4 linked regions of the Rhinolophus ferrumequinum genome follow. The protein of the gene in region 4 purifies or fractionates together with the protein of the main gene of each other region. This does not show direct contact. Links are inferred from orthologs where the notes say so. Each region holds a gene or a part of one and is shown on either strand. Other genes may lie near its edges. The genes, in order: mitochondrial chaperone BCS1, FAM241A, PLXNA1 and NRP1.

Region 1 (7,509 bases), on a different chromosome or scaffold from region 4:
GTCTATAGAAGGCAGAGAGAAAGAAGCTTAAAATCAGTCCTTTCTGTTCCCCACCACATTCCCCTACTTATTGCGTCTCTGTGGGCTCTTACTGCTAGCCCAGGCAACCTCCAGCAGCCCCCCGGATTCCCACTTTTCTTCTACTGTTCATTTAGAAACCCCTTCCCTCAACTCCCCTTACTTACTGTCCACAGCCAGGTCTCGACTGAGAAAGGCAGCATCCACGTCTTCCAGGAGCACCAGGCTCTGCTGAGGGGCCACACTCAGCAGGTGGTTGAGCCGGTCATCGGAGAGGCTGGAGTCTGTGAGACTCAGTAAGCAGATGCTGTGCTCCAGTTCCCCAGCCAGGGCTGTGCTACAGAAGATGGGGGGACGGATGGTTAGCAACCTGGGAATTCGTCCTTGGGCCCACTGCTTGTTCCTCACTGTACTAGGTGTGTCTCAGGCCTACCCCTCCCACCACCCCACCCTAATGTTCCTCATGTCTCATGTTTATTCTGGTCCCTGTTCCCCACATTCCTTTCTCTTTCCAATCCCATCAGCCCAGTTTTCCTCCAGTTTGAGGATTAAGAGAAACATTGACTACTTACATAAAACTGCTCTTTCCACAACCAGGGGGTCCATAAAGCAAGTAGCCACGTCTGTAAGGAATGCCTAGAAATACCGCCAGGATGATCACCAAGGCCTAAAATCATGTACTCTACCCCAGATGTCCACATTCAGTCCCACCCTGCTCCTCGGAGGCCCAAGGACCTTGGCATTGGAAGAAATCATCACCGTAGGCAACTTTCCCTTCATCTCTGGGAACTGGGCTAGAGCTTTACATGCATTCCATCTGGCCAGAGACTAGCCTGTTTCCTCCTGCTCTAACATCAAACACGGTCTGACCAAGACCCCAGCCACTGCTCACCTCTGTCAATGTACCACTTGGGGTTATCGATGAATTCCCGGATGTCTCTGACAATTCGCTCAGACAAGCCCTGTTCTAGAACCACAGAATCCAGTGGCCGCCGCCGGCGTGGATAGCCAAAGGAGCGCCATTCAGAGCCCACGGCTGTGTACATCACTGTCTTCCCTTCCTCCTGCTGCAAGGCTAAATCTCGAGCTGGAGGCAGGGGGTGGGGGAGGGGCGATATGAAACAAAGTCAGTATTCCTCTCTGCCGTGCAACTAAGGCAAAAACAAAAACAGCTTCCCCCGGCCCCCTGCTCCCAGCGGCTCATAGCTTCCAAGCTTATTTTCTCTAGGTTAAATGCCCCCATCCCTGCAAGCCCCCATAGAGCCTGCCTATGCCATCATACCACACCTTCCTCCAGGATGTTGAAGAAAACCTTGCGGTCAGTGCCCAGAGCCGTGAAGGTGACAGATTCCCAAGGAGTCCCCGTCTGCAGGTCTATCATCTGCATATCTCGGCTTCGTTCCACTCGGATCCATTTCCCCTGATACCTGAATAAGAATGATCAAAATTGGGGTGAATGAACTGGTGAAACTCAGCTCTCCTCATTCTCCTCTTCTACTCTTGGAGCCCTCCCTCCCTGGCTCCCCACCTTACCAGATAAAGTGGTTTCCAGGGCTGGGGACAAATTCAAACTTAGTGGAGATGCGGCCACTCTCATGCTGAAGGTACGAGGTCTCGACACTGAGGTGCTGCGTACGGGTACTATGGCGGGTGAGCCAGCTCAGCAACCAGGCATAGCTCCGGTCTCGAGCAGGGACTTCCAGTGTGATCATGTAATGGCGCCGGAATGCCACCAGGCCTAGCTGGGCGCCCTTCCGGGCCACGGCCAGGGCCGTGCCCACACCCACCAGTCCAAATCCAGCCCCAAAATACGGATTGTCCTTCAGGGCCAGAATAAAGTCTGAGAGGGGCATCTTAAAAGGGAAACACAACCTCACAGGCCCTGAAGCCTTTTCAAAACCTGGGGATGGGGTGCAGTGGGGATGGGACAAAGCACAAGATTAGTTTAGAAACTGGACTCCACAATTCCTCCCCTCCCCCTCCTCCTGCAAAAGCTGGGAGCAGGAAAGACAGGTCAGCTACTGTGTACTTTAATATCCTCCCTTTGTGGGACGGCCATGGTGTTGTGACGCAAGGGCTGAGCCTCCAGGCCCCTTGGCCCATTTTGCCCATCATTGTACTGCTCATACCTGTTTCCTGAAAGAAAACTATGTCTGGAGATCTCTTACTTCTGAGAGTACAGTGTAACCAGCTTCACAACAGGATAACAGAATTTTTGTGGTCCCTGGGACCAGCTGAGATAGAAAGGGGCCCCCTGGCCAGAGTTAGGAGGGGATGAAGCCATTGTCTTCCCCTGACCTGTCAGTAACCCCAAGCCTTGTTACCATGAGTGACGTCCTTCGAATATCCTCTCCTTTACATGCTCAATTCCTGATGTCCTGTTTAGCCCTTTATTACCTCCTACCTTAAGTCTCTTTAAAATTTAGTTCTTGAAATGGCACTTAATTGGTCTCCACTCCCTGCTTCACGAAACTGCTATACAGAGGCCCAGGTCTTCATACAGATTGGCTTTAATTACTATCCCTACTCAACACTCTCAACGGACCCCTGAATTAAGTAAAAAACAAACAAAAACCCCTTTGCCTGATACTCAAAGCCCTCCATAACAAACCGCCCACCTACCTTTCATGGCTCAGCTCCTAAAACTAACTCCCTGTTGAACAAATATGCAAACCACTTCCCACCTCCTGGCTCAAGCAGTTCTCTCAACTTGAAAGCCTATTTTAATTTCTCTCCAACTGAAGTCCTCCTCATCTGCTACTTTCTCCATGGTGATTTTTCAGAATTCTCCGCAATAAAACGTGACCGTGTCTAATTCTAGACTATAAGATCCCGAAAGGTAGGAAGCCAAATGGTTTTTAGTACACCTCCCCGGCCCCCTGCACTTCGCTGTGCTCCTGGCACGCGGAGCGGTGAACTGACAGCAGTGACCTCCGCTGAGGCTCAGAGTTGGAACCAGAATTCCAAAATACCTATGCATGGAAGGCCACAGACAAAGCCCTATCCGTTCCGGGTCCTTGATGGACGCTCAGAAGCCCCCTCCCGAACAGCCTCCACACCCCAGCTCGCGCCTCCAGCAACGTGCTCTGGAGTAATGTGTCACTCCGCCCCCTTACCGCCATGACTCTCTGGCCCTCCCTCTCAGTGGTTTCACCGCTCCGCACTCCAGGGAAGCGCCACTCGGCCCCGCCCCGAGTTCGCTCATCTACTTCCCGCCACGCCCACCACGAGCGCCGTGCCACTCTGCTCCACAACTCTCGATGGTGCTCCTCGGGCTTCTTGGCTGGGAGGAGTTGGAGGTTGGGGAAACGATAGAGAAAACCATAGAGTACTACTCCCGCCGCCAAGAGGTAGAGAGAGCGGTCTCCATAGGCCCAATGCCATAGAGGCCGCTGGGCCGGAGGCGGTCGCATAAAGGGAGTCCTGGGAGGCCGCTCCAGCTTCTGGTCGATCATAGAGATGCGGCTCCTGCCGGTTCTGGGCCGAAAGGTAATTGAGCGGCTGCGGGGAGCGAGCTAGTAGGGAGTGTGGATGGAGCGGGCTGGAGGGAAAAGTTTCTCGAGCCCCAGAATGAGGGTGGGACTGGGAAGTGGGAACCCTTGAAAGGAGGTGCTGAAGGGAGCACGCCGACGAGCGGGGCCCCGGCGCATCACATCAGCTGCCCCAGTTCCTCAATCGCGTCACTGCTCTGGACCCCGCCCTGTCACCCGCTGGCTCTCCTCAGGACCGTAATCATGACAATGCTTCATCCCAAGCTTTGCAGGTTACAAATCGGCTTTCCCATTCGCCCGGTCTGTGATTCCGCCTCCTGTCCAGCGATGTGGACTCTGTCGTCGCCTCCACTTTACAGATAAGAAAGCTGAGGCCCAGAGAAGCGAGGTGACTGTATCTGTCCAAATCCACGCGGTGAGTCAGAGCCCACAGTCAGGTGGAAACCCGGCGCCTGTGGTCCCCAGGCCAGGTCTCATTCATTCCCCAGGCCTTTCTGCCTTAACCTGTCAGGAAACCTTCGTAGTGGAAGTGACATGTGTGCAGATTCTTAAAGGAGTTGGTTAGCCAGACAAAAATGAGAAGGGGGAAAGGCCCGTAAAGCCGAGAGACAGGCAGACACACAATGTGTGAACGTACAGAAGGAAAAGGATGTGGTGAGTGTGGGGAATGGCAGATCATTGGTATGAGTGGTTCAGAGGTCTGTTGACGGAAGATGAGTCTGGAGAGGTCAGCAGGGGCCAGATGGTGAAGGAAGGGCCTCATACCCATACTAAGGAATAGTGAGTGAGTTCATGAAATGTTAAGAAGGGAAGGGCCATCTGAGATCCCTGGGCCCCACCCGATTTTGTTGCAGCTAAGAAGAGAGATCCAGATTGCTTCATGGTTTGACCAATGTCACTTAGCTCCAAAAACTTCACCTGCGGTCTTTAATATAGTGGCCCAAACTTGTTGGCTCTCTCCTAATATTAATCCCTCTTATAATTTTTATACTTTTTGTTCTAGACATTGTCATAAAAATAAAACTTCTAGGTTGATGAGTTGTGGCATGCTGCCATGCAAGGCAGTATCTAAGGGGGCAGGCTCTGGGTTGTCCACTCACATCAAATGGGAAGAAAGTGAGAGATCTTACTATATTTTATTTGGTTTCTCTTCTAGTTGTTTTATCAGCACTTAAGAGACCGTAGCACACAAGTTGGTGGTAATGACAGACCCCGTGTTGGACTCACAGCCAAGCAACAGCACTGGAGAGATGGATGGACTGTGTCCTGAGCTATTGCTGATCCCCCCACCGCTCTCTAACCCTGGAATCCTGGAGCCTGTCCAGAGCCCCTGTCCTTCTGGGGACCCCACACCTTTACCTGCTAACCCAAGCTGCCTGCTGGTAGAGACCACAGCCACTGAAGAGGACACAGGGAACATGGAGATCATTGTAGAAGCAGTAGCTGGAAATCTGTCCCCAGGTGCTCCTGGAGAGACCTCAGGTATGAACACAGTTGCTAGCAGGCCAGTGGGGCGAACAGCCTTGAGATTTTCGTCTGTGCTATTTTTGTTCCGTCTCTATAAATATGATGAGAACACAAGGTAGCATCCTATCTTTATACTTAGGGATGTGGTAATAGGATTTGCAGTTGGTAAATGTTGATTGAAGGCTGGCAAGGTGGTGCACAACCTTGTACCAAGCTCTTGACAGTCTGTCCCTGTAAGGGCTTCATGTCTGCTAAGCAGTAATCCAGAAGGGAAGACCTTTCTGACACCTCCGCCAATCCTTACTCCAATAATCCTTGGGGATTCTTTCCCCCATATTGACCCTCCCACCCAGGAACTGCAGCCAGGGATTAGGCAAAATGCCCAGCCTCTCTCTACTACCCTGGACTTGGCAGGGCTTCCCAGAGGTAATCTGGGCAGGTATTTCCCTGCCCTAGTTTCTTGTGTATAACATACTTAACTCATCCAAGGCATGTGGTTAAGAGTGGGAGTTGAACATTTACACTTACGCTAGAAGAAAGATTCTCCCCTTTATTCTTCCCACATCTATAACTTCTTATTTTTAAGTAATTTCCTGTTTTTTAACTGCCATCCTTTAACTATAGTTGTCACAACTTCCCTTGGCAGTGTACAAAGAACACGGGGAAAGATTAGTTAATTTGATCATATAATATTTCTAAACTTCTAATCAGTAAAGAAATAATAAATAAAAAACATACCTGGGAAAAACATTTGCAATGTATAAGAAAGAGTTAATATCTTTAAAACTTAAAGAGCTCCACAATAAGAAAAAAGAAACAGTATTTTTTTAAAAATTGAAACAGTATTTTTTAAAAAAAAAAGTGGGGGGAGAAATCTATATGAAATTCAATAAAGAAGAAATAAAAATAGTAACTATAAAGATGCTTAATCTCACTAACACACCAATAAATTCCAGTTAAAAATAACTAAAAAATTTTAAAATATGCATACTCGGACCCAGTAATTCCACTTGTTGGGATTTGTCCTATAGACTCACACACATGTGCAAGGATACGGGGTAAGGATGTGTAGCTTTATTTGTAATGGTTGGAAACAACTCAAATGTCCATCAGTAAGGACAGAATTTCATTTTAATTTATCTGTGCGCAGAAGTACTGTGAACTAAAAAAAATATGAAGTAGATGTAAATGTACTCATAGATTAAAAAAAATAGATAAGTGAAAAAAAATAGGCAAATTGCAGAAAAATGCCCCCAAAGGGCCTGAAAGGATACAGACCAAACTGTGTGTGTGTGGGGGGGGGATGGGAAATATTCTTTTTGTGAAATATGTCTGTATTGTTTGAATTGTTGCACTCAATATTTATTTAAACAAACAAAAAAATCATAACGAGAAAAAGGACCACCAGAATAAATATAAGACAAACCTGGGCGTGAGTCATGGCTCCACCATTAACAAACATGGTGGCCTTAACCTCACAGAATCCCGGGGCCCTCTTTTCATAGGGCAGTTGGAGGACCAAAAGTGTTTCCTAAGCCTGTCTTTATCAAGGTCCTGCCCATTGCTTAAGAAATGGCAGTGATTATTATGAACAGGATTTGGCTGTTTTCAAAAAGGATGTTCTCCATTTTATGAATTACTGTGCTGATAAAAATCTCTTTACAGAATGTAACACTCATATTGTAATATAGCAGATAGTGTCCTGAGATTGTCATTTTCTTTTTTTTTTTTTAAGTTTCTGATTTTTCATCTGGGCAAAATATATTGCCTTTTCTTAATGCTTTCTAATTTGGTTAATGCTTGCTACATTCATTTAACAAATACTTAAGTACTTACTTTGTGCCAAGTATTGTGCTAGATACTGGGAATTCAAACACATCTGCAAGGCAGACTGTCCCTCCCCTGATGGGGTTTGTGGTCCAGGGGCAGAACCAGACTTAAAGTCCGTCTCCACTCCATGAATATTAAGATTCACCTATGTTTTCTGCTAGAAACTAACTCCTACGCATCTTGTTCCATCTGATTCTATGCCTTTTTCTGTCGGTCCTCTGCCTGCAGGTGTCCTGGTAAAGGTGGTGGAGGTGTACTTCTGTGAGCACTGTGAGCAGAGCTTCGCAGAGCCCACTCTGCTGGCCCTGCACCAGTGCACTGAGACCCTTATGCAGCCTGCGCAGGGCCTCGCTAGCCCTCCATGTTCTGTAGAGCTGCCCCCCAGCAACCTCACTCTCCCTGGCCCTCTGCAGGGCCAGAACCAACCAGATAGCCCCCTGCCATGCCCTGTGTGTAGACAGGAGTTTGCCCAACCCCAGACCCTGAAGAGCCACTTCAAGACTCACCGGGGCACTCCTGACACCTTCTCCTGCCCAGAGTCTGGCTGTGTGTTCTCCGCTGAAGATCGTAAGGGTCTACAGAACCACCTGAGGCAGACCCACAGAGCGCTTCCTGTGCCCTGTTCTTTCCGGGGCTGCCCCCTGCTCTTCGGGAGCCAGCAGGGCATGGAGCTGCACCGGCAGGCCCATTATCCTTTCCACTG
Region 2 (7,597 bases), on a different chromosome or scaffold from region 4:
TTGGGATGGTTGTGAGGGGTCAGTGAGGTGATGCAGGTCAGCTCCTGCCCACACGTGATGGGCCCTCACTACCCCTCCCTCTTCCCTTCTCAGTCCTTTCTCTACCTCTATGGGCTGGAAGGATCAAGCATTTAGCAAACAGCCTCCTGGTGGCAGAATGAGCTCTACTGTTGGTGTCCACACAGCCACAGCCCGCTGAGTGCTGACTCTGGCATCTGTGCCAGCTTCATCCTTGGGGCGGTGCTCACCACGGCCCCTCCCTGGTCTTCTCACCCTTGCTCTTCTTCAAAATCATGGTCCCCGCTTCAGCTCAGGCTAGAGCGCCTCTCACAAGTCTTCTCACTGGTCTCTCTGCTTCCTGTCCCTGCAACCTCCACGCCATGACCAGCTTGATATTTCTAAGCTAGGGATCTAAGCCTGTCGCTTCCTGTGAGTAGAACTACCAAGAGCTTCCATTTAGGGTAGGGAACAAAGTCTATCATCGGCACAATGTCCATTGTCTTTATCAGGCTTCATGTTCTTCTCCTGGTGTCATTTGCTATCATAACACCCCAATTCACTCACCAGGTACCCCCGCTGTCAGCATTAATCTGTATGGTTGGATGACAGGTGTGGACTTTAACAGATAGAGGCACCAGAACTGAGACTGAGCCTGAATGTGGGAACCTGAATACAGACTTTAGTGAATAATAATGCATCAACATTTGTTCATTAATTGTAACAATTCTGGAAAGAGAAATTATAAGTAAAATAAGATAAACCTATTGCATAATAATGGGTAATTTCCTAGTAGAAATAGACATTAACAAAACAGACCCTAAAATAAGGAAAATACAAACAGATCAGTTAGCCATCCAGGACTTCTTCACCTGCTGGTTCTCCTCTCGTTGTTCTGGGGTTCCCTCTCCCGAGACAGAGAAGGGACAAGAACAGAGCTGGTCAGCAGCTTCCTTAAGGTCTGACCCCACCCAGTGTCCTTATGTCCCCCACTTGTGCCCTTCCCCCACCCAGTGAGGACACCTTGCAAAGGGAGTCTCAGGGATTATTGATTCTAATCAGTCAACCAGGACTTTTTTGATTGGGAAGAACTGGACACACTTACTGAAGTACAATTAATTAATAATTGTTTCAATGGCAGCAGTACATTAATACTTGCAAGAGGCAACTTAAGAGTTGTTCAAGTTCTCACAGTCACACTGTGTGAGCTGATCTCTCTCCAACACTCCGTCCTGCTAAGTGCCTTTCGGTGGCCCCATTCACACGCACAGTCTCTCTCCCTGCATCCAGGGTCTCCAGCCACTCTTTCCCATTGGGTCCCATGAAATGTCACGGCTTTAAATACGCATGGCTAGGGTCACGTTCTCATGCTTGAACCCATCAGAGCACCCAGAGGATGGAACAGACAATGGACTAGATGTGGGGTCAGCCCTCTGGAACTGTTTGGAATGGAAGCAGGTGAGATGAGTTCCCTGGAAGCTGAGGTGCTGGACTTGGGCCCAAAAACAGAAGCTGGGTCAGGGAAAGCAACAGATTCCATATCACTGAACCCGAACCCTAACCCCCTAAACCCAACCTGAAACCCCAAACGTAAAAAACCCTTAAATTCTAAACACTAAACCCTTAACCATAAGCCTAAATCTTAACCTAAACTGTAAAACCTTATAACCAGAAACCAGAACCAGAACTATAAACCAAAACCTAAACCCTACTAAATTATAACTATAAACCATAAACAATAAACTGTGAACCATAATCATAAGCCATAACTATAACCATAAACTATAGCCATAACCATAAACCATAAACTGTAATCATAAATCATAATCCAAAACCAACAACATAAACATAGCCATAAACAATAAACATAATGCATAACATATTAACATAAACCACAAACTGTACACATAGCCATAAACAATAACCATAAACTATAACCAAACCATAACCCATAACCTTAACCCCTAACTGGGCACTATACTTTACCTCAGCCCCAACCCTAGCTCTGTAAACCACTAACAATAGCCCCTATCCAATCAAATCACAAATACATCACAAAACAAAATATACAGACCTATATTCCTTATAAAGACGTAACAATGCTCCATAAAATAGGAATATGAAACCAACTACACATTAATATAATTATGCACCATAAGCAACTGTGTTTACACCAGAAATTTGAAGGTTGTTCAATGTACTGAAACCAAACTATGGAATACCCAGCAACAACTGTCGCGTCCAGCATGACGTGGATTGTGGGGAGGGAGAAGAGCAGCACAAGGTTAAGAAAAGACAGTAGCCATGATTATAATACGAGCGTGGCCAAGGGTCTCAAGTCTCAAGGACTGAGCCCGAATCGGGCCAACGCGTAGTTTTTATTGGTAAACTTCTAAAGAGGTAAAAGATGGTTAATCTCAAGATCTGTGTGTTAGTAGCCTGCTGGCTGTCTTTCTGAAAGTTCCTATTGTGTTCCAGCTTGTACTTTGCCTTCACAGACACGCACATCTCCAAGGAATCCATTGAAGGGGAGGGACCGATATAATTCCATCGGGTCTCAGTTTGCTGAGACTTCCCCTCAAAGGAGCTTTTCCGATATCTCTCCATCGGGCCTCAGTTTGCTGAGGCACTCCCTTGTGAAATCCTGGGAAGAGCACAGGGGAACAAACGGATTGGCAGCTGTAAGGCAACAAACAACAGTATGAAGGAAAAACACGTGATCACATCAGTGAGGCACAAAAAGCTTTTCACAAATCCCAGTCCTATTTCATGATCTAAACACTCAAGAATGTAGGAATAAAAGGAAGTTTCTTCAATATGATCAAGAACTTTAGCCAATACTGGGCCGGCCCGGTGGCTCAGGCGGTTAGAGCTCCATGCTCCTAACTCTGAAGGCTGCGGTTCAATTCCCACATGGGCCAGTGGGTTCTCAACCACAAGGTTGCCGGTAGGATTCCTTGAGTCCCGCAAGGGATGGTGGGCTGCACCCCCTGCAACTAGTAATGGCAACTGGACCTAGAGTTGAGCTGTGCACTCCACAACTAAGATTGAAAGGACAACAACTTGACTTGGAAAAAAGTCCTGGAAGTACACACTGTTCCCCAGTAAAGTCCTGTTCCCCTTCCCTAATAAAATCTCTAAAAAAAAAAAAAAAGAAAGAAAGAAAGAAAGAAAGAAGTCCCCAAAAAAATTAAAAAATTAAAAAAAAGATTAGGCAAATAATGGCAAATATCATAGCTCTTTTTTTAAGATGACAGATTTATTCCTGAAATCAGGAACAATGCCAGGATGCTGGCTTTCACCACAGTCATTCCATAATGTCCATCTGGAAAGCTCAATCCAGAGCAATTAGGAAAGGAATGAGAGGCATCCCTATGAAAGGAAAAAGTGAAACTGTCTATTCACAGATGACACATCACATCTTCTTATATATAGAACTTCCAAAAGGATTAACAGAAAAGTGTTACAGCTAGTAAACTAATTCCTCTATAACAAGAAGTAAAAGTTGACAAATCTATGTTCAGTAATTATTTTCTCATATTTGGAAATTATCTAGACATTCAGTGAATATCTGTCATTTAATTTAGATAGCAAAACTTCACAGTTTCAACTTATCAAAGACACATAGAAAACCATATATGTACTCTCTCTATATATATAGAGAGAGAGAAAGAGAGTATATATATAATATACCTATATATATTCTTACCCATTTATAGACATAGACACAAAGGCAGATACACCAACAAATGCTCCCAAGGCTTGTACAACCAACATAGATACTAGAGAGGACACAAAAGGAACAAAAGAGACAAAGAAATATGGATTACTTGCCAGAGTTTGACTATTATGGACACCCAGACACAGCCCAGTGCCATGGCAAACCAGAGGGACAACACTGGAGAATAACTGTGTGCTTCACTCCCTCTCTCTCCCTCTCTCTCCCTCTCCCTCTCTCTCTCTCTCTCTCTCACACACACACACACACACACACACACACACACGCTGTCTCATACACGGTCTCACACCATCTCTCTTAAACATATAGTCTCTCAGTCTGTTACAGTCTCACACACACACACACACACAGGCCCTCAGTCTCACACACAGGCCTTAAGGCTCTCACACACTCAGAGACTGAGGCCCTGAGTCTCACACACACACACACACACACACACAGGCCCTCAGTCTCGCGCGTGCACACGCACACACGCGCACTCCGTCTCACACACGTGGTCTCAGTCTCACGGTCTGTTACGCAGTCTCTCACACGCTCGCTCGCACTCGCGTGCCCCGTCGGCCACGCCCCCTGTGGCTCCTCCCAGAGGCAGGGGCGGGGCCGGTGGGTGACAGGAGGGGCGGGCGGGGCTAGCACTCCAGGAGTCCCGACCACGCACTCGGGAGCCTCGGTCCGCGGCGAGAGGCCCGGTCCTGGGCGGCCCACGGGCGCTGCTGCCTCGCGGGTCGGGACCTGGCCCTCCGGCGGCTGTCGGGGAGGCGAGATGTGCTCGGCTGGAGAGCTGCTCGGCGGCGCCGGCAGCGGGGCGCGCGAAGAGGACGGGGACGCGTTGGCGGAGCGGGCTGCGGCGGGGACCGAGCGGGAGCCCGAGATGAGCTCGCGGCGGCGCGAGCGGCGGTCGCAGGAGGAGCGTGAGCAGGTGAGCGCGGAAGTGGGCGGCGCGGCGGGTCCGTAGCTCTGCGGGCGGGCTGCGCTGGGCCGGGGAGTCGGCCCGCGGCGGTTCCTGCGCTCCTGACGTGCTCCTGCCATGTCACTGCGCCCAGCGGGCCAGCGGGGCTCGGTCGGTCCTTCCCCTAACGTCGGGCAGAGGATTCTCAGGCCGGCGCCTAGGGTTCTGCGCAAGTGCCCTCAACCGTCACTTGTCTCTGTCTTCCATGCGAACACTGTGTTTTCATCTTCGAGTCCGCCCTCGTGCTGCGCCCTAGGGGACAGCTGCGCCCTCCCGCCGCCCTCCTGGCACCTCTGTAAGGTGTTGGTCCCTTTTCCTAGGTGGGTACCCGGTGTCAGAAGGCATGTGGAGGGGCCAGTATTGCAATAGATGTCGTGACAGGGACTATCCCAGAGCACGTTCTTCACATGAATGCAAAAGAGATCTAAATTACATTTAAAAGGTGAAAAAGCAAGATAATCGCTTTCCGTTTGTACCACAGGTACAGAAGTGTGAGACGCCAGCAGTAATAAGGAAAAAGAGAAGTTGGGTAATTTTTGAAACTCCGAATTTTCTCTCACTCAATGGGTGACAATAGGCATTATAACATCAAATATCTTCAAGATTAAGCAAGAAATTTAATAAAAGAAATGTATTGGTGGGGTGAATTTTCAGCAGCAGATACAGTGATTAGGTTTCAAACTTTCCCGAGATTAGCCAACCTTCAGAATCCCGTCTAGGAGCAGGATTCTAACAGATCACTTGCCTTTACTACAGCTTATAATGTTGGGACAGTTGACCCCTCTCCCCTCATCCTCTTCCATCTGTCCTTCCTGTCATATTTCACAAACTCGAATATCACTAAAGGCATTGATAGCTAAAGTATAACTTCTAGTCGTCAACGGTTTATTTAGGAAACAGAATTAACAGTGTGGCACGCAGAACGATGCCTTTGCATTATGTGAAGTGTAATTTTTCATCCTTATGACAATGTAAGACCTAGTGACTAAAGGAAATCATTGGTAGGTAAGAGGTCTTCCTGATTGCCTTCTTGATGTTTTTTTCCAGTTAACTGTACCATGACTCAGTAGCTAAAGGGCTTAGTTTCCTCTTACTTTACTTGTTCAACTGGAAAAGTGAAGAAAACAGACAAAAGGAACTGACTTGGTGATGGGAGTGGGGGTTGCGTTTGAGGTTCCCAAGGTACATTTTCGGATGGCTGTAAGGGAGCATGTAAAATCCTTCACGTGCACCTCTGTGGATTTGGCATCATGGGTAGCTCTGATCTTATCAAAATTGCTTGTGGTTCAAAGAAACAGGGTGAAACAAAAAAAAAAAAGAATGAAACATATATCCCAGAAAACAGATATCACTTTGCATATCTACTTCATTCGTTGCATGTCATGGACATTCATTTTGAAGTACTCCTATGAAAATATTATCATTTTATTTTTAACACATTTATTTACATATACAATAATTGAAAATTACACCTGAGATATGTATTTCTTCCCATATCAGAACTAAAGAACTTCTTATCAAGAGGCCACAAATAAAATTGGTGCAACCCAACCCATTGGTGTAAGAAGCAAGCCTTTTTTTTTTTTTAAATGGGAATAAGTCAGTCTACTTCTTTTTTTTTTTTTTTTTTTTTTAAGATTTTACTGGGGAAGGAGAACAGGACTTTATTGGGGAACAGTGTGTACTTCCAGGCCTTTTCTACAAGTCAAGTTGTTGTCCTTTCAGTCTTAGTTGTGGAGGGCGCAGCTCAGCTCCAGGTCCAGTTGCAGTTTTCTAGTTGCAGGGGGCACAGCCCACCATCCCTTGCAGGACTCCAGGAATTGAACTGGCAACCTTGTGGTTGAGAGCCCACTGGCCCATGTAGGAATCGAACCACAGTCTTCGGAGTTAGGAGCATGGAGCTGTAACTGCCTGAGTCACCGGGCCGTCCCAAGAAGCAAGCTTTTGAGATAAGTCATTTCTTAGTAATATCACAAAGGCTTGTTTTCTAGTTTTTTTTTAATTCCTGCAAATGTAGTGTAAATTTCTTATGCACTCCCTCCAGTGATGTTAGAGATAACTGCAGATAAAAGGGGGAAGTAAATGAGGGAGAAGTAAATCACAACTATACAACATATCCTAAGGAGTTGTTTTATTTAGTTTTTCTTTAGGGGGATGGTGTGTGTTTATTTTGTTGTTTTAAGACACATAAACATTTTGTTGTTTTAAGACACACAAGGTCCAAATTACAAATGGACTGTTTTTGAAAACTTGGTTCATAAACTAGTTATTTAAAACTTAAAGTGAACTGATAAATAGAAACAATGATATAAACAACAGAACCAAAACTAATTACGTAACTGGAAATGAGGCAGAGGCCATCTTCCTGCTGTGCTTTCTACTTAGCACACTTGCTCACTTAGCTTCCAGAGCCTCAGACACCGAGAGAGACATGGAGGCCAAGAAAGGAAGAGGCGCCTTTGAATGCAACAGCTGTGGACGTCACCTGACTTGCTCCTCTGGTGATTTTTGTCAGTCACTACTGTTCTGCATTAAGTCCCTCTCTAGTTCCACTCCTTCGCAGAGTTTCGCCATTACCTGATAATTTGATGAAGCAGTTTCTTCCCCAGGCTAAGGGCTCCTCTACATACTTCCTTTCCTTCACTAATTTTTCTCTCCTCTCCTGTGTGAAAGGCTCACGCCCTTCCCTCAACCAGGAAGCCTCTTACATCAGCTTTGACTTTACAGAAACTATCTTTGGCTCAGGGTTGTCATGATACCAGGTCAAAATGTATCTGTATTTTGGTATTTATTTCACGTAATACTGAAATACTGGTATTAATACAGTTGTTTTCTTAGTAATAGAGATATTGTCAGCAGTAGGTTTGCTCACTTTGTGGAATCATCGAATTTTACAGTTTGTCCATAGTTGC
Region 3 (8,367 bases), on a different chromosome or scaffold from region 4:
CCTGAAGTCATCTGAGCTAGCAGCCCCAGGACAAGGCAATGCTGACTCCCCAGTGCTCTTGGAGAGTATCTATGGAGTGGTGGGTAGGGAGCACTGCTACCGTGTCTTCTATACAATGTAGTGCTGACAGTAACCTGGTTGCATCCCCAAGGCCAGGTGAGGGCTGGTGACATACCTGAGCCTAGACTGGTCACAGCTGGCACAGACAGGGACAGGAAGCCTGAGGCGGATTCACAGGTGGGAAGGGCTGTAGTCAAAAAAGCTTTCTGGAAGGGGTACGGGTGGGAACATGGGCCTTGAAAGATGGAAGGTGGAGGCGGGGGCACTCCTGGACAAGGGCACAGCACAGGGAAAGACCTGAGGTGCAAAGGCATCTTTGGAGCAAGACTCTCAGCATGACAAGAACACTGAGCACAGTGAAGTAGTAGCAGTTAGGTAGGTGGGGTCCTGGATGCTTTGCCTACCCTGCATCCTTGTTTTGCTAATTGCACCAGGATTTTCGGTGAGGGAACCACTCCCCGATGCTACCCCTGGCTCTGGAGAGCTACCCGATCCCCGCCCATCAACAGTCAGGTTCTATCCCTTGGCCATGGTAACTGGTTCAAGGGGCCAAGGGAAAGAGCCTAATCCAGCCCACTTCATGAGGCTCCATTCTGGGAATTTCCCGGGACCTACTGGGAAAGAAGCACCTGGAGGTGCCAAAGCCACCATACACAGAGGCCTGTGTGGGCGTGAACCAAGGTAGTGGCCCACTATGGCCATGCTGTGCCCGAGACCCAGCCATGCTCACTTGCTGCTAACCTGAGCCACTATAGGCTACTTGGAGCTTAAGCCCAGTTGAGTTTCTGTGTCCTGAAACCAACAGCGCCTGACTGGTGAGGGCAGGGGTTGGCAGATGGAGGAGGCCACGGTGGGCCTAGTGGCCTTCTCTTCAGAGTGTCTGCACCTGGGTGAGCTCCTATCCTCCTGCTTTAGAGCCGTGGGCCAAAGGCTTGGGGTGTGGGCATGGCTCTGGCTCCTGAACAGGCGCCCCAACCCCCTCTGCATCCAGCAGCTAGAGTGGGCTCCTAGAATGTAGCAGTGACTGCGTTGTGTCCACAGTGGCAGCCTGTGGGCTGAGGCTGACAGCACCAACCCCACAGGGGTGCGTGAGGAAGAGCCAAGATGACTCCCGGTGCTGTACACTCAGGGCCGGCCCAAGGCAAGTGCCCACCAAATGTCGAGGAACAGCCAGGGAGTACCTGCTCCATGCCTTCCGCCAGTGTGTATGCACACGTGCATATGTCTGTACTCATATGGGTGCGGGGATGGAGCATTCTGTGTGTTGAAGGAACCGCTGGAGGGTCTGCACAGGGAGGGTCTCCACACTCTCTCCTCTCTCAGATCCCTCTGGCCACAGTGCGGAGAGCAAGGCGGGGAGGGGCAGGTGGGAGCTGGTGACTAAGGAGGCCTCCACACCTGTGGGGCAGGAGGTGACAGGAGTAAGAGACATGAGAAACAGTTTTGATGTGGGGCGAGGGGCAGGCAGGAGTCAGGGTGACCCTAGCTTTGAGCCCAGGGGCCTGGGATCAGTGGCTGTCCCGCAGGGGTTTCGGGTGCCCAGGACCCCTTGTGCTCCCTCCCCTGTCCTCCTCACCCATCAGTGACGGGGAGGGAAGAAGGCACCCTTGAGTCTACTTTCGAGCAAAGCTCTGAGTTACCAAATGGCGGAAGCAGCCCCTGGAGCTGCTTGCATGGCAGGAACACTGGGAGGTACTGAAAGAACCTCCTCTCAAACCTTGATCAGAGCTCTACCTAGGAATTGTTCTGTGCCATTCAACAACCCCATGCCTTCCTGAACTACTTGGCAACCAGAAGCAAAACCACAGAGGAGACCAGACAGGAAGGGCCCAAACTGTCCTGTTGACTCATTTGCCCCCATCATGCACGATGAGGAGCACCAGGGCCACACACCCAGGTGCGAATCCAGCTGGACCTCACTCCTCTTCATCTGTACTTGGGGCAGGCTCCTTGGAAGGCAGCATCAGGACACACACACAAACACACTAAGGGAAGGTCAGACAAAGCTCCACCTGGTGGGGACCACCACACTTGGCTCATTGGAGTACGTTATTTCCCATTTTCTCTTCAACAAACTGCCTGTCTCCTCCCTATGTTCCTACTGGGTTGTTGTCTTTTCCTTATTGATTCTTGTGAGTTCCTTCTAAAGCCCGGGTATGCATCTTTTGTCAAATATATGTGTGTTGCAAATATCTTTTCCTAAATCTTGGCTTGTCTGGCCACTTCCTCTTTTGTAACTCTTACTGAACTCTGTAATTTTAATGAACAAAAATAACCAGTTTTAAGGTACTCAAATTGATTCTTATTTATTTTTGATGTTTCATTGAAGAAATCTTCCCTGGCCCACGGTCATAAAGCTAATTTGCTCTGTTGTCTTCTAAAAGTCTTGCAGTTTTCCTCATTGTGCTCAGGTCTATGGCCCTCCTGGAATTGATGGTCACGCATGATACGCGAGCATTACATAATCAGATTTCCATCTTGGAAAGAACTTGCCACCCGTCACCTTTTGGGGAAAGGACAAAGTGACATGATCAGGAGCAGGGGACAAAGTGGGGATAGAGGGTAGTGGTATAATCTGGTATAACATGTTTTGGGGGATGCAGGGGCCCTGGGGGACACTGAGGTTCTTGGTGGGGCGACTGTAGGATGTGAGCGTGTGAGCTTGGCCACCACCCAGAGCCCAGCAGCCCTCCTGAGCCCCTCGGGGAGACAATAGACATGGGGGGCTGGAACGCAAAGCAGCAGCCCTGGCTCTTGGGACTGTGGAACACAGAGTGAGAAGGGTCTTGTGCAGTGCCTGCCTCAGTGGACCCACAGAGGATAGGCTGTCAAGGAGCAGTCAGAGAGGTGGGGACAGCCCTGGTGCCAACACAGGAAGCAGGGAATAGACATTTTCTCAGGCCCACTGTGGTGCTCACACTCACGCCTCCTCACCGCGCTTCAGTGAGGGGTCTCTGACTCCATCTCGCAGATGAGGAAAGTGGGTCTTGGCAACAGATGGGACTCGCTGCACCTTAACTAGCCACTCCAGAATGTGAAGCTAGGTATGTGGCTCAGACGTTCACAAGGAAGGGCAGGTACTTGGGTCTGGTTCACAGGCGTGTGTGTGTGTGTGTGTGTGTGTGTGTGTGTGTGTAGTACAGTGGCTAAGTTGAGACCACAGGCCATGGAAATATACTGTGAGAAGTAGCCCCCCAGCTCTGACACCTACCAGCTAGGGAACTTGGGCAAGCCACTTCACCTCTCCCACCTCAGTTTACCCATCTTTAAAATGTAGCAGAACCCTGTGCAGTGTCAGCACTAGCTAGATTAGTGCTTATTCAATAAAATAGTAAACAGAACTTTTGAAAGAGATGCTCACCCTTATTCAGGGACATGCAAATTAAAACCACAACGATAAATCGGTGCATACTACCAGATAGATAACTCCAGAGTGACAGTACCAAATGTAGGCGAGGATGGGGGCTGCCAGGACCCAAACTGCTGCTGGGACTGCAAACCCGGCTATCACTAGGGAAAACTGCTTTGGGGTGCCCATCAAAGCTAAACACTCAGCTACCTGATGATTTAGCCGCGCATCAGATCTAACCGCCTCCAAGAGCCTGCACAAGATGTCCATCACAGCTCACTGCACAGTGGTCCCAAACTGGGGAGCTGGTTCATCAGCAGGAGAAAAGATGACTAGCACCACCTGCTAAGACATAACAAAGAGTAAACAAACTGCCCATCAGCAACCCGGCCTTGCTGGGCCCACACAGCCCAGAGATCGCGTTTTTTACGCCGCCCCACAATCACAGCAAAGTAGCATGTTCAAATACCCAAAGGAAACCAAGGGAAGGATTCACCTAGAAACTAGGCTAGGGGCTGCACGGCGGGAGGGAGGGGCGAGGGGGGAGGGACCCCTGCGCCCGGCCGTGTTCCTTACCCGGGACTGTAGCCGTTTCCTCTTCTGTGGGGATGACAGGCAGGTACTCACACAGCAAGAGAGCTTCTCCGTGCTCTGCTGCTCTCCCCTACCCAGCTCACCCTTCAACCGCGAGGCTCTCTGGTCCTTTCGGTTCTACTAAAGGTGCTCCTGCGCCTCGCCTCACCTTCCACGGGGCCTTCTGTGGGGAGGCGTCCCCACGCCCCAACCTTTGGGCGGCTCTGAGAACGCGCAGGCAAGCACCATCACGAATGACTGCTGTATGCCCCCTGCTGGGCCACGGGGCCTCGCGCCCTCGGTGGACAGCCCCGGCCCCCGATACCCGCGTCCCGCGGCGCGCCCGGCCTCTGGCTCGGACGGCCTGGATTCATGTCCTGCCACGCCCCATCTCGGGACTCGGCGACGGAAATTTCCTTCTGGGTTGCGTCTGGGTCTGTGAATGCGCAGCTGAGAGGTTTTGAGGGATGTAGGGTGTTGTGCGGCCCGGCCAGCAGAGGGCGCCGTTTTGCTCACTAGCGAGGGTATCCATCCCACCTAACAGATGCGATCGCCAAGGCCAAGAGGTGGGGGGACCCACACCACAGTCCCGCATGACCCAGGGTAGGGTGTTTTCCCTCCTCCGGCCTGTTTACTCTTCCGTGAATGGAGGTTGTGCTCCTAACCCGGGCACACGGAGGCCTCTGGGGACGCAGGCTCAGGTCAGCCCGGATGCGGGGGGCTCGCGGGGACGCCCCGCCGCAGACCCCGCGCCCAGCCACTAACAGCAGGCTGCTGCATCACCGTTTGAAGGCGCGCGGTGGGCCGGGGCGGGCGTGCGGCGCGGGGCAGAGCGCCCTCTGGAGGCCTCTGCCGGCCCCCGACGCCCGCGCCTGCCCCGCCCCCCTGCCTCGCCCCCCGGCCTCGGGCGGCGCATGCGCGCGGCCAGGCGTTCCGCAGGCGGCGAGATCGAGGCTAGTCCGCAGCCGCGCGGAGCTCGGCTCCCCATTCATGCTGGGCAGCGGCGACGCGGCCACGCAGCGGAGCCCCGGCGCGGCGGCGGCCTCGGCCTGGGCGGCCTGTACGGCTTCGGCGGCCCGGCGGCTGGGCAAGCAGCGGCTGGGCGGGCGGCGGAGCGCGGCGATGGCCGGCGGCAAGGCGCGCCCGGGGGCAGCCGGTGAGTAGGAGCGCAACTTTCCCCGTGGCGCGGGGCGGGACAGGCGGGGGTCTCGGGCCGGGGGCGCGCCGGGTGGGAAGCGCCCTCGGTCGAGCCGCCCAGGGTGCGCGGACGTGAGGCCGGGTGGGCAAGGGGTGTACGCGGAGGACTGCGGCGTTCGTGTCCCTGTGTCCCTGCGGCTCCGGCCCGGCTCTCGCGTGTATCCGGGCGCGGCCGCGGCGCCGGTACTGAACGCGTCGTGTCCTAGCCCGGCGGGGGTCGGACCCAGCCCCAGGCCCCGCGCCGTGGGCCTCCCCGCCGGCCCGGCCCTCCGAGCTCCTCCGGGCAGCGCTCCGGGCGGCGCAGCGGGGCTAGGGCTGGCGCTGCTCTCTCCTCTAAGGCAGGAGAGAAAGTTTGAGGCGGCCCTACTGGGAGGGCCCTGCGGATACCCAGGCCGAGCCCGGAGGCTGGACCGCGGCTGGGACCTCTGGCCGCCGGTAGGGCTGGGCCGGTCTGGGCAGGCCCGGGCAAGGCCGCGGGAGCCAAAGGAGGGCATGCGGGGCTGCGCCCCTGGTCGGCCCTCAGAGCGCGGGGGTGGAAGTTAGAGCCGCTTCCTCGGGTCCCAGGCCCGCCCCTGGCCCCTCTGGCCCCGGGTGCTGGGAAATGGGCGCTATGTCCGTTCCAGGCCCGCTGGGCCGCGCACCCGGGCTGGGAGGGGGCGGTGCGGGTGCCGCCCGGGAGGCCGCCCCGCTGTCTCGGGCCTTCCTAGGCCTCCCCCTCGCAGGGCCTCTCCAGGGTCAGCTTGCTTCCCTCGGAGGCTTCCGATTGCTTCCTGGATAGTCCCTGGCCCGGGCCTGGTGTGTACCGGAGCTGGGGGCGGCGGGGCTGATTCGGGACTGCCTCCGGGAAGGGGAAGGGGGAGCAGGGCGCCAGGGAGGACCCTGGCCTCTGTGAGATCCCAGGTGCAGCCCGGGAAAGGGGGGTGAGAGGGGCTGCAATGACTGCCTAGAGACTGGAGCAGCCCTAGCTGATCTGTGGGGTGCTGGGACCACGCCCCTTGAAAGAAAGGGGTGTGTGTGTTCAGGGGTGGGATGTGGACCATGCCTCTGCCCCCTGAGCCTGGGGTCCTTCCCCTTCTTCCGTGCTGAGGCCGGTTCTCTGGCTTTGGGCAGGGGGGTGGGGCTCAGCCTTTGCTCCTCTGGCCCTTGTGAAGCACGACCCAGGTACCTTCAGCTCCTTACCCGTTTGGGGTACACAGGAGAGACCAGGTGTTGCACGAGACTGCTAAGACCCTGCCCAGCCCTTGAGGAGCACCCAGTCCCAGGCCAGAAGCAGACTGGAAAACCAGTGATTCCGCTTCAGGGCCTAGCAAGGGCGTTTCAGGCAGGGGACAGCATGGGTGGAGGTCTGGCAAGCCCCTGTGTGGCTGAGGTGTGTGCTTGGGGGTGGGGGACAAGTGAGGTGCCGTGGACAAAGCACACAGCTCTTTTCTGGTTTGCTGTGGTCCCCAGGTCCTTGCCTGCATCTTTTGATACCCCAGGAAGGTCCCCTTGTCTAAGAAGCAAGCCATAGGAGGAGAGGGCACCACTTCTAGGGAAGATCAAGTGGTGGGCACTTTTTGAGAAGCAGGACTGTAATGCTTCCCGGTGCTGGGCCCCTAGGACTGGTCTGGTGGGAGAACAGGGCGTCTCAGTACCACCTCCCGGGGCCTGTGTTGGGGGCAGGGGTCTGACAGAGGTGGCTCTCTGTCCTGGTTGACAATGGGGCACCACTGGGCAGGATGGCAGTGTCTTTTCTCTGTCCCCCACTCCCTGCCGGTGCCCTAACCTGTCTGAGCCCCAGAAGGATCCAGAGCCTGAGGCGTGGGGCCTGGGCTCTGCCTCTGCGAACAGGGCTGAGTGAGGGCCTTTGTTTCTCAGGGTGAGGAGGAGTGGTGGCTGGGAGAGGGGCGCGGGACCTTGATCTCTCCATGTTCTCCTGTACAGCTGAGCCCGTCCTGTCCAGGAATGGTGCCTGCTATACCAGGCCTGTCTGCCTCTGTCCTGGCCTCTCTCTCCCTGGCTCACCCCCATTCACACACTTAACGCCAGTTCAGCTTCTCACTCCCCAGTCTGGCTCTGACTGGGCCCCAGCAGAGCCTGCTTCTCATGCCGAAGCCAGGAAGCTGCGGTCATTCCCATTGCCCTCTCTGCGTTGTCCAGCAGGTTCCACCCCCAGGCCTTTGCTCTTGCTGCTCTGCCACCCAGGATGCCCCCTCCCATGCCAGCTCCCACTGTGCCTGGTCCTTCTAGAACAGGTGGAAAGGCCCCCTGGGGGAGCCTCCTCAGACCACAGTGGCTTGTTCTGCTCCCTCCCAGCCACAGAGCACTGCAGGTGTGGTGCTCTCCTCCTCCAACCCAGCGTGGTCCTTCCCAGCACTCAGGCAGCTTTGGAATGAATGCATTTTTTCCTGGGCAGACCAAAGGCACGTGGGAGTCGAGCCCCAGCAGGTCTGTTGGTCATCCAGGTCTCTGTAGGAGCCTGGGATTCCGTCCCTGTCCTGCTGGGACTAGCTGGGTGACCTTGGATCTATCTGAGCCTTGGGCCCTGTATCAGTAAGATAGGGGCAGTGACCCAGACGTCTTTCCTGGGCCTTGTGAAATGATGGGCATGAAGGAGCCAACCCTGGGTTCCTGATCCCCGTTTCCTAGCTGGCAGCCCCATGCCTCTGGCCGGTCCCTTCTTTACCAGGAAGCCTCTGTTGGGGGCAGGGGGAGTGGGCCCAGGGCCAGGCCTGAGTTTGGATGGTGGCTTTTTCAGCTGGGTCCCTCCTGTTTAATATAAAAAGTAGGGCCCCTGATTGCATTAAGACGTGTATAATTATCCCTGAAGAGGGGAGAGCCCAGCCCCTGGTAATTGCAGGTCTGCTTTGAACTGATAAACGGTGAGTGATTCATGTTTTCTTTGGAGTTCACATGCACTCAGCTTTCAGTCCAGGCCCCACTGCCACTGTGAGGAGCCTGTTCTCCGCCTACTGGTCTGCCTTGGGCTCCTGAGCTGGAGGCTGGGGGTTAGGGGCTGGGGACTCCTCTCCTGGCTGCCAGCAGAGGTCCCTGGTGACTGTAGGTTTTGGGGCTATGTCTGGGCAAAGATCCTCAAGGTTCTCTTGCTGGTTGAATCCTGGTTAACCCCTCTCTCTTCCCGAGCCTCAGTTTGTCCACCTGAGCAGTGGGTGTGGGCATTCCCTGGACAGAGGGAGTGTGGGAAGAGA
Region 4 (7,829 bases):
TCGGTACCACACCAGAGCTCTTTAATCTGTGACTTCTGAGAAAGTGACAGTGTAATAAGATAATGTGGACTGCTAGACTCTCTGGCTCTGTTCAATCTCTCTAGCAGTTGATTAAGAAAGAGCAATTTCTAATGACTCTGAACCATTAGTCCTAAATAAGGTTAATGAATTAATTTAGCAGACTCTGGTACTCAGAGGAGGTGGACATGGCTTTAAGAGGTCTGCTGAATTACAGAAGCTGTGGTCACTGCAAGCATAGCAACATGGCTTTAACCAGTCAAGCTCACTGACAAGCTCAGGTTCTTAGCATTCCCCTAATTTCTACTAAGAAAAGATATATATATATATATATATATATATATATATATATATATATATATGTAGTCATACACACTTATATACATATATATGGCGTTCACAACCTAAAGTCTGAAATCTATTTGCATTAGGTTTCAAATTCATTCTGTGATCACCCCTGCAACTGATTAATCTCAGGAGTTGGGGAGGGTGAGTTGCTGCAATTTCTAAAATCTAACCACTTGGGCTCTTTCAAATGGAGGAGAATGTTATTTCATTCCCTACCAGATTATAGAAATATGCCACCAACTCAGGTTCATTAATAAATTGAACTTCATATTCACAAATCTGTGAGTATATTTTGCTTCCAAGCCCTTTAGAACACTGCTTGGTAGCCGTGGGTGGAAATCTATTGCTTCAATCAAAAAACCTCCAAAAAGCATATTAGATAGATTAACTTCCACCATAAAGACATGATTTAAATTCCTCTTGGTCTGAACCCCCTCCACTTGTGGTCACTTATTAAAACAATATACCTCAGTAAGTAGTGGATGGTCTTTTCTTCTAATTACTTTGATTGAAATCTAAGCCAGACAAAAGTAAACATTTGATAATTAGTTAATAATCGCTGAAGATTTACTGGAAAGATAATTTCATATCCTTGCCTTCTCCTACTTCACAGTGCAAATGAAACATGCCTACAACCAGATCACATTTTAAAACACATTATTTAGGTTACAGTATACTGTTTATAATGCAGCACAGTCTTTCATTTACTTAACAGTGGGTGATTTGTAAAGCTAAGTGGAAGCTGTATCTAGGTTAGGGATTTTCAGATATCCCGGTGCCTTACACTGTATATATCAGATTCCTTTATTGACACTATGAACTTTCATTCATGCTTCAGACAGATTAGGGACGATTTACAAAGGCTGAGGAGGGAGTTCAATCAACCAACAAACCACTATCTCTTGCAGGCACCCACCAGAGGAAACAGTTTAGGGGAGCTGCAAGGGAACCAGGAAGTTCTCCCGGTAAAGCGTTCATTAACTTTCAACAGCCTTCAGATTTTTGAAAGGGAGTCTCATTCTAATTGCCTTTGGGAGGAAACATTATTAAGATAATTGGTGTGCTGATATGGGAAGGTAGGCAGCGCTGCCTTGTAACAGTGGTGGGAAAACCCCCACAGCCAAAGCACCAACTTCAGGAGGGAGCCGGAGGACTTGAAATCTTCCTGCCCCAAACCGACTGGTCTTATTTCTTTATTTCTCCGCCTGGATAAAAAGTTTCTTTCGCCTGGGAGGTGGCTATTCCGGTTTCATCCCTGCAGCGCTGCGTGAATCGTGGCTGGGCGGGAAGCCTCGCCCGGGCCGGGTCCGGCAGCTAGGGAGCCCCGGACCCGCGCTGTCACGCGCGCCTCTGCCTGTCACTTACCGTTGCGAAAAGCGCTGGCCGGGGCGGGGGCGAGGGCGAGGGCGAGGACGAGCGCGGCGCAGAGGAGCTGCGGCCCCCTCTCCATTCTCCCTTCGCCGGATCCCCAGCAGACTCGGGAGAACGAGGACGTGCGGGGAAAATAGAGCAAAGAGGGGAATCTAAACAATCCGAAGCGCTCCAACTCCGCCTAGAGCTGTAAAATCCTCAGTCCGTCTTGGAGAAAGGAAAGCAGCGAGGCAATGCCTTGATCGGAGAGCAAGGCTTCTCTTTTTGTGTCTCAAGTCACTTGCATCCTGTCATTTAGCTCCGGTTTCCTCTCTCTTTTCCCACACTTGTTCCTCTTCCAGGAGCCACTGCCCGGGCCATGTCTCAAAAAAAAAAAAAAAAAAAAAAAAAAAAAGCGCGGGGGGGTGGGGGAAGCTGCGTGGGGGAGGAGGGAGGTGGGGAAGCACACAAGCCAATTTCCAGAAAGAAAGAAAAAATAATCCGGCTTGTCTCTGGGCCGCTTGGAGCCGAGGAGCTGGCGCCCAGGGGAGGTCCGGGGTGTCTGCGCGACAGAGAGGAGCAAGCAATGAGAAGATGAGCGGGAGGCAGAGGAGTTTCACCAACTGCACCCCCGCCTCCCCCACCTCCCGTCTTCCCCCTCCCCTCCTGGAGCCATTCCCTCGCTTCCTCCCGCCCCTCTCCCCGCACTGGCTCGCCAGTCAGTGTCTGACAGGAGACGGGGAGGAACAAGTTTCCCTGGGTGTGCTTTCCCATCCGTCCGTCCGTCTCTACCAGAGGCCCTGCAGGGATCTCTGCAGGAGGGAGGCGCTGGGGTCTGCGCCCTGGGCATGTGTGAGAGGGAGTCGAGGTGGGGGCCAGCGACAGTGTTGGGCTCTGTTACCTCCGCGTGCTCGCTCGGGACCCCAGTGGGGACAGCAGGCAGCTCGCAGAGGATCTCCGGGATCCAGCCGCCAGGAGCACCGAGCGCCCGGGAGGTGGCGGCTGCTTCTCACAGCTCTGAACCCCCGGCCAGCGTCCGCCCGGCTAGGAGCTCAGACTCAGCCCCTGCCATTCCCCGCGGTGCCGGCCGGAGACCTGTAGCAGGGAGCCGCGGGGCTCCCCTGGATGCCCCGGGCCAGGGCTGCAGGGACAGGGCGGAGAGCGAGGCTGGAGCGGGATACGCACCACAGAGCTGGGCAACGGTGGGCAGTGTCGCTGCCACGTTAAGCCGTGTCAGATCACGGCCTCCCTTCCCCGTGACAGGGAGCGCGATTGAGCGCTCATGGTGCCCAGGTAGCCGCCTCACGCCGCGGTGTTGGTGTCCTCTCCTCCGGGGTAGAGGAAACGCCGGAGGGTGGGAGGTGATGCGACTGCCAGCTGTGTGTATGTGTGTGTGTGTGTGTGTGTGTGTGTGTGTGTGGGCGGGGGGCAGCCGTCGTCCGACCCCACCCAACCCATGTCTCGGAGCCCAGGTGATCCGGGTTTGGAAATGAGGGGTTCAGTGGCCCCGGTTTCTGTGCATCCCAAGGGAGGTGGCGCAGTGGTAGCGGAAGAAAGAGATGTGCTCTTGGCAGGGCCCTCACGGTGCCCCCTCCGGGCCGCAGGCCATTGTCACCGACGTCCCTTTAGCTCCCGCCCACTCCTACCTCCCAGAGCGGCGCGTCCTCTCTTGTGGGCGGGATGCCCCCCAGTTCCCTTCCTGAGGCTTTCCCAGAACTGCAGCAGAAGGCTCCCGCGGTTAAAAATAGCAAGGGTATATCAGGGAACAAACAGGTTTGGGCCACCGATTAAGCCCTTGACAGGGGTAAATGCCCGCGGACCTCCTCCGAAGGAGTTCGTGGGGAAGGTGAAAAGGTCACTACATCTTCTGGGGATTGGCGTTTAGGTACACACCCGAAAGCAGAGCCTTATTCCTACCTGGCGCAAAGAGCTGGCAAAGGAGATTTAGGAATGTTGGCAAGGAGACACTGGTCAAAGGTTTTGGCGAAAGAACTAGGGGCGGGACAGGAGAAAGGGAGCCCTTGGCAAGCTGGCCGCTGGCAGAGACCCGGCGCTCGCCGGTCCCGGCTGGGCGCAGTAACGCGCGTCTCCAGAGGTGCAGGCTGGCCCAGCGCGCACGGAGGTGCATCCGCGGCGGCTGCAGTCGCCTCTCGTTCTCTGCAGGTCAAGCTTTCCGACCCGCCCGCCAGCTCCCGGGGAGCCCCCGCCTCCAAGCTGGAGACCCAGCCCCCTGGGCGCCTTGAGCCCGCCCTGCCCGCTAGCGCCTCCTTTCCCGCACGCCTCCTTTCCTTCTCGGCTCCGGGACCCCTGGGAGGAGCGGGCTAAGGAGGTGGCACTAGGAGGCTGGGAGTCCAATGTCTAGGCGGGGCAGAAGGAGCGGTGGCGGGGCGCTGGGAATCCCTGCAACCCCAGCTTCAGCGGGCGGGCAGGAGTCAAGGCAGGGGAGCCAGCCGCACCCAGCGCGGCGGGGAGGGAGGGAGCAAATGCGGTGGAGGGAACCCTGGTGTTGGGCTACGACCGGCGCATCGCCTCCTCCCGGCTGACCTCTCCGTCCCGGCCGCAGCCCCGCCAGTCCCAGTCCCGAGCTGCGTCTGGCGAGCGGCTTCATCAGATTTGTGGTGACTTTCAGCGACCTCAGTCCAAAGCTTGGAGGGAGAGGGGCCTCTCAGAAACTGGCAGGTTAACAGAGCAAGGACACCGGGTGGGTGCAGGGGCCGGAGTGTCCCAGAGTCACAGATGCCCTTTTCTTCCGAGTGGGAACTAGGAGGCCCGCTTGCTACAGGAGCCGGGTTTGACCCGTCTATGCCTCGCCGGGGTGAGCAAGGGGGCACACGCGGGAGACTTGAGCTGTGTTGTTTTTAGAAAACTGCTGCCAATCTCTCTTCCCCTTTCCCTGCTGAGTGTGCATTTCCCAGCCTGGACCCACCCGGCTAACGAATAAAGCCATGAGCTCATGCACTCAGAGAGGGACTGCCCCCACTCCACAACCTCGCCCCTCAGGCTACCTGGGAAGGCCTGCCTGTGCCCGGGAAGGGATCCTCCAGTGAGTCCAAGAGCAAAAAATGCCTGTCTCCTTTCTTGCTCACCAGTTTGAACACTTTTGCCAGGCTTTCTCCAACCAACAAATAAAACATGCACTATGCTCTCTGAGGTTTGTGTGTGTGGGGATATCGTATTTAAGTTCTACCTCAGATTTTTCCAGTCTTAGCTGATGGCCTTTCTAAACTCCTTAGCTCCACACAGCACTGGGTAATAGAGCACCATGGCACTGATTGACAATTGCCAGCTAGTGGGTTGATACAGAGTAAATTGTCCTTCCTGAGAACCTCTTTCCTCTGCTTTTGGATTCCACTAAGTGCTGAAAAGGGTCAGTTTTATATTTTTGCAATTCTCCAGCAAGGGAGACAGACCGACCTTTATAGGAGAATAAGTGATAGAGGAAAAATTTGTCAGTGTTCCTGGGTTGATTTTATTTTAGTCTCAGGAACACATCACTCTTCCTGACATAACAAATCCCCAGACTAGATAGGACCCAGTTCCACTGAAGGGAAGATTCATGGCCCACACTCCCAGAACTATGGTCAAAAGCCCTGGGTGGGCAGTACTCGACCACATGGACCCCCCCCATGCAGGGGCTGCTGCAGGAATAAGGCACTTGGCTTCCACCTATAGAAAGCAGGGCCTGAGCAGTGGTCCATCGTTAAGAATAGACCTGGTGGTAAATGTTTGGTTCCTTTCATCAACCTCTCATTAATTTGTCAAAAATAAGATGAGATACATTGCTCCCACAAGGCCATTTGAACCACTAACTTCCTCAAAGTACTTCAGGTTGTTGTAATATGGAGATTCAGGTTGGTATTTCAAAACTCTATCAAGTCTAGTCAAGTTTTTTAAAGCACATATTTCAGAAAAGCAAAAAAAAATATTTTTAGTAAGAGCTAACCTACATTTGAAATGTAAGAGTGGAACAAGTGAAACTGGGAAAGGATTTAAAATTGGAATTTAAATGAACTGTTATTTAAAATATTTTTATTATAAATGCCCTTCCATTAAATGACTCTATCACTCAAGAGGTATCTTTTGGACCATACTTGTGATTATCTCCTTAATTTGGATTAGCAGAGGAAGAAAATAAACACATGAACCTTTACTTTCTGATCCTTCATTTTTGGCCTTTTCAAAGTTACCTTGAAAATTCTTCAAATATTGGAGAAAAGACTACCATCTAAAGTTTAAAAACAAAGTTACAATGCAAAATTCTTGTAATATAATATGTGCAATAACAAGTTGCAGGAATACAATGCTAAAATTTGAATCATATTAATGGATTCAAAACAATTTTTGGTGTTAGAGGTTAGGGATAGAGTTTGAAAACTGTATATTATTTGCCCTAAAACAATAATCTTAGATTATTCTGTCTTCATTGAATCACTTAATTAAGAAATAGTAATAACCAATAGAAACATTCATCAAACCAATAAAACATCACTAGAGAGAACCTATTCAACATTTCAAAAAGGACTATTTTTAAGTAGGACAATCTATAAAATATAATTTGAGCAATCAAATAAGGAAGCGGCTCTCTTAAAATTTAATTATAGTCTTAAATAGAGAAGGAAAATTTTAAGGAATTTTGAAATAATCAGCAAAAATAATTTTAAAAATATAAAATAAAGACCAAAAGCACAGGTAAGAATTGCTGAATTTATCCTACCACAATTTAATTTTATTTTGTACTTTTATTAGATGACTCTGGCTGCTACATGGAAAATGAGTTATGGGTGGAGCAGGGGAAGAAGTAAAAAGACCAGTTAGGAAGTACCTATAGTGGAATCTAAATAAGAGAGTGAACAGGATCATAGAAGTGGAAATTGGAAAAAGATGTATTCCTGATGTATTTAGAAGATATAATTGACAGGACAGATGATGGGATGGATATGCCAGTAAAGGAGAGGGTGTTGTCAGTGACGACCCTTAAGATTCTCGCTTCCATAACTGGATGGGTGGTGGTGATAGCCTTTGAATAGGCAAGGAACACTAGAAGACAAGTGTGAAAGGAAGACCATGAGTTTGATCTGGTCTAGATTTTCAGTCTCTTTGAGACAAATGAATTAGGAATACAAAGGAGTTGTTTGGACTGGAGATACAAATGTGTGAGTCACTGATATGTAGTGATATAATGTAATAATACAGTAATTATAATAATATTGTAATTGAAGTGGAAGAAATGGATAAAATTGCTAAGGGAATTGGAAAAGGAGGCCGAGACAGAAAACTGAGAAACATTTAAAGGCTGGATTGTCAGGATAAGACAACAAAAGACCTTGAGAATGAGCAGCTGAAGAGGTAAGAGGAAAACCAGGAGAGTATACTGTCTTAAAAATCAAGTAGAAGGGAGATTTCCAAAAAGAAATGCTAGACAAAGGAGTTGAATACCCTTGAGAGTGTTAGTTGGTTGAGGACTAAAATGCAACTGGACATAATGGCATGATAGTTACTGAGAGGTGTTTTTAACAAGAGCCATTTTAGTGGTGTAAATGGAGGGACAGGGCTAGAGACCAGATGGAACTGGGCTAGGGAATGAATGGGAGGTAAGAAAGTAGGAACAATGAACAGAGACAATTCTCTCTCAAAATTTCTACCGAAGGAGAGGAGATAGCTCTGGAAGGAAGAGGTGTGGAGGACAGTTGATGTTTTTCTTTTTTGTTTGCTTTTCAGATGAGGTACTTTTGAACATTCTTAAATGCTGATGGGTAGAACCTAGTATTGGTGGAGATGTTGAAAATAAAGCACAGAAAGCAGGAGGGGCTTTAATCCATAGCCCAGAAAAACAGATTTACCCTAGATTGAAAGAGGGACAGCTCCTCTGTTATAAATCTGTGGGAAAAGAGGAACTGATGGGTCTAATGGCAAGCAGGTTTGTCATTCTGGTGGGGGTAGTTTCTCTCTACTCTCTTGCATTTTCTTCTGTCTCATAGAATAAGGGGAGAGGGACAGTTACGAAAAGTCTACAGAGAGGAATCAAATTGGAGTGAAGACCAGGCTGACCACAGAAGCTGCTGTTATTGCTGTCATTTTGATAATTTCGTAGGTTGAAAATTTGGGCTAGGAAC

What was found.
Region 1: the proteins of NRP1 (region 4) and mitochondrial chaperone BCS1 purify together in Homo sapiens (affinity purification with mass spectrometry; 3 studies listed by BioGRID and IntAct, counting the BioPlex papers as one, with this or other methods). This does not show direct contact. The link is inferred for Rhinolophus ferrumequinum from reciprocal best matches to the Homo sapiens genes NRP1 and BCS1L.
Region 2: the proteins of NRP1 (region 4) and FAM241A purify together in Homo sapiens (affinity purification with mass spectrometry; 3 studies listed by BioGRID and IntAct, with this or other methods). This does not show direct contact. The link is inferred for Rhinolophus ferrumequinum from reciprocal best matches to the Homo sapiens genes NRP1 and FAM241A.
Region 3: the proteins of NRP1 (region 4) and PLXNA1 purify together in Homo sapiens (affinity purification with western blotting; 4 studies listed by BioGRID). This does not show direct contact. The link is inferred for Rhinolophus ferrumequinum from reciprocal best matches to the Homo sapiens genes NRP1 and PLXNA1.

What each region holds. Positions count from the first base shown.
Region 1 is NC_046291.1:16,706,305-16,713,813, forward strand, and holds the start of mitochondrial chaperone BCS1, read right to left. Parts: upstream 3,224-7,509; 5' UTR 3,135-3,223; intron 3,124-3,134; exon of another isoform or gene 2,991-3,123; intron 1,919-2,990; 5' UTR 1,872-1,918; coding exon 1,552-1,871; intron 1,446-1,551; coding exon 1,306-1,445; intron 1,106-1,305; coding exon 911-1,105; intron 655-910; coding exon 591-654; intron 356-590; coding exon 186-355; intron 3-185; coding exon 1-2. Other genes in the region: ZNF142 (zinc finger protein 142), read left to right, coding at 4,712-4,991, 7,035-7,509. UniProt on the Homo sapiens protein: Chaperone necessary for the incorporation of Rieske iron-sulfur protein UQCRFS1 into the mitochondrial respiratory chain complex III.
Region 2 is NC_046301.1:747-8,343, forward strand, and holds the start of FAM241A (uncharacterized protein FAM241A), read left to right. Parts: upstream 1-4,338; 5' UTR 4,339-4,499; coding exon 4,500-4,655; intron 4,656-7,597.
Region 3 is NC_046302.1:2,592,947-2,601,313, reverse strand, and holds the start of PLXNA1 (plexin-A1), read left to right. Parts: upstream 1-5,095; 5' UTR 5,096-5,138; intron 5,139-8,367. UniProt on the Homo sapiens protein: Coreceptor for SEMA3A, SEMA3C, SEMA3F and SEMA6D. Necessary for signaling by class 3 semaphorins and subsequent remodeling of the cytoskeleton. Plays a role in axon guidance, invasive growth and cell migration.
Region 4 is NC_046288.1:4,335,932-4,343,760, forward strand, and holds the start of NRP1 (neuropilin-1), read right to left. Parts: upstream 3,111-7,829; 5' UTR 2,902-3,110; intron 2,279-2,901; 5' UTR 1,817-2,278; coding exon 1,732-1,816; intron 1-1,731. UniProt on the Homo sapiens protein: Cell-surface receptor involved in the development of the cardiovascular system, in angiogenesis, in the formation of certain neuronal circuits and in organogenesis outside the nervous system. Mediates the chemorepulsant activity of semaphorins.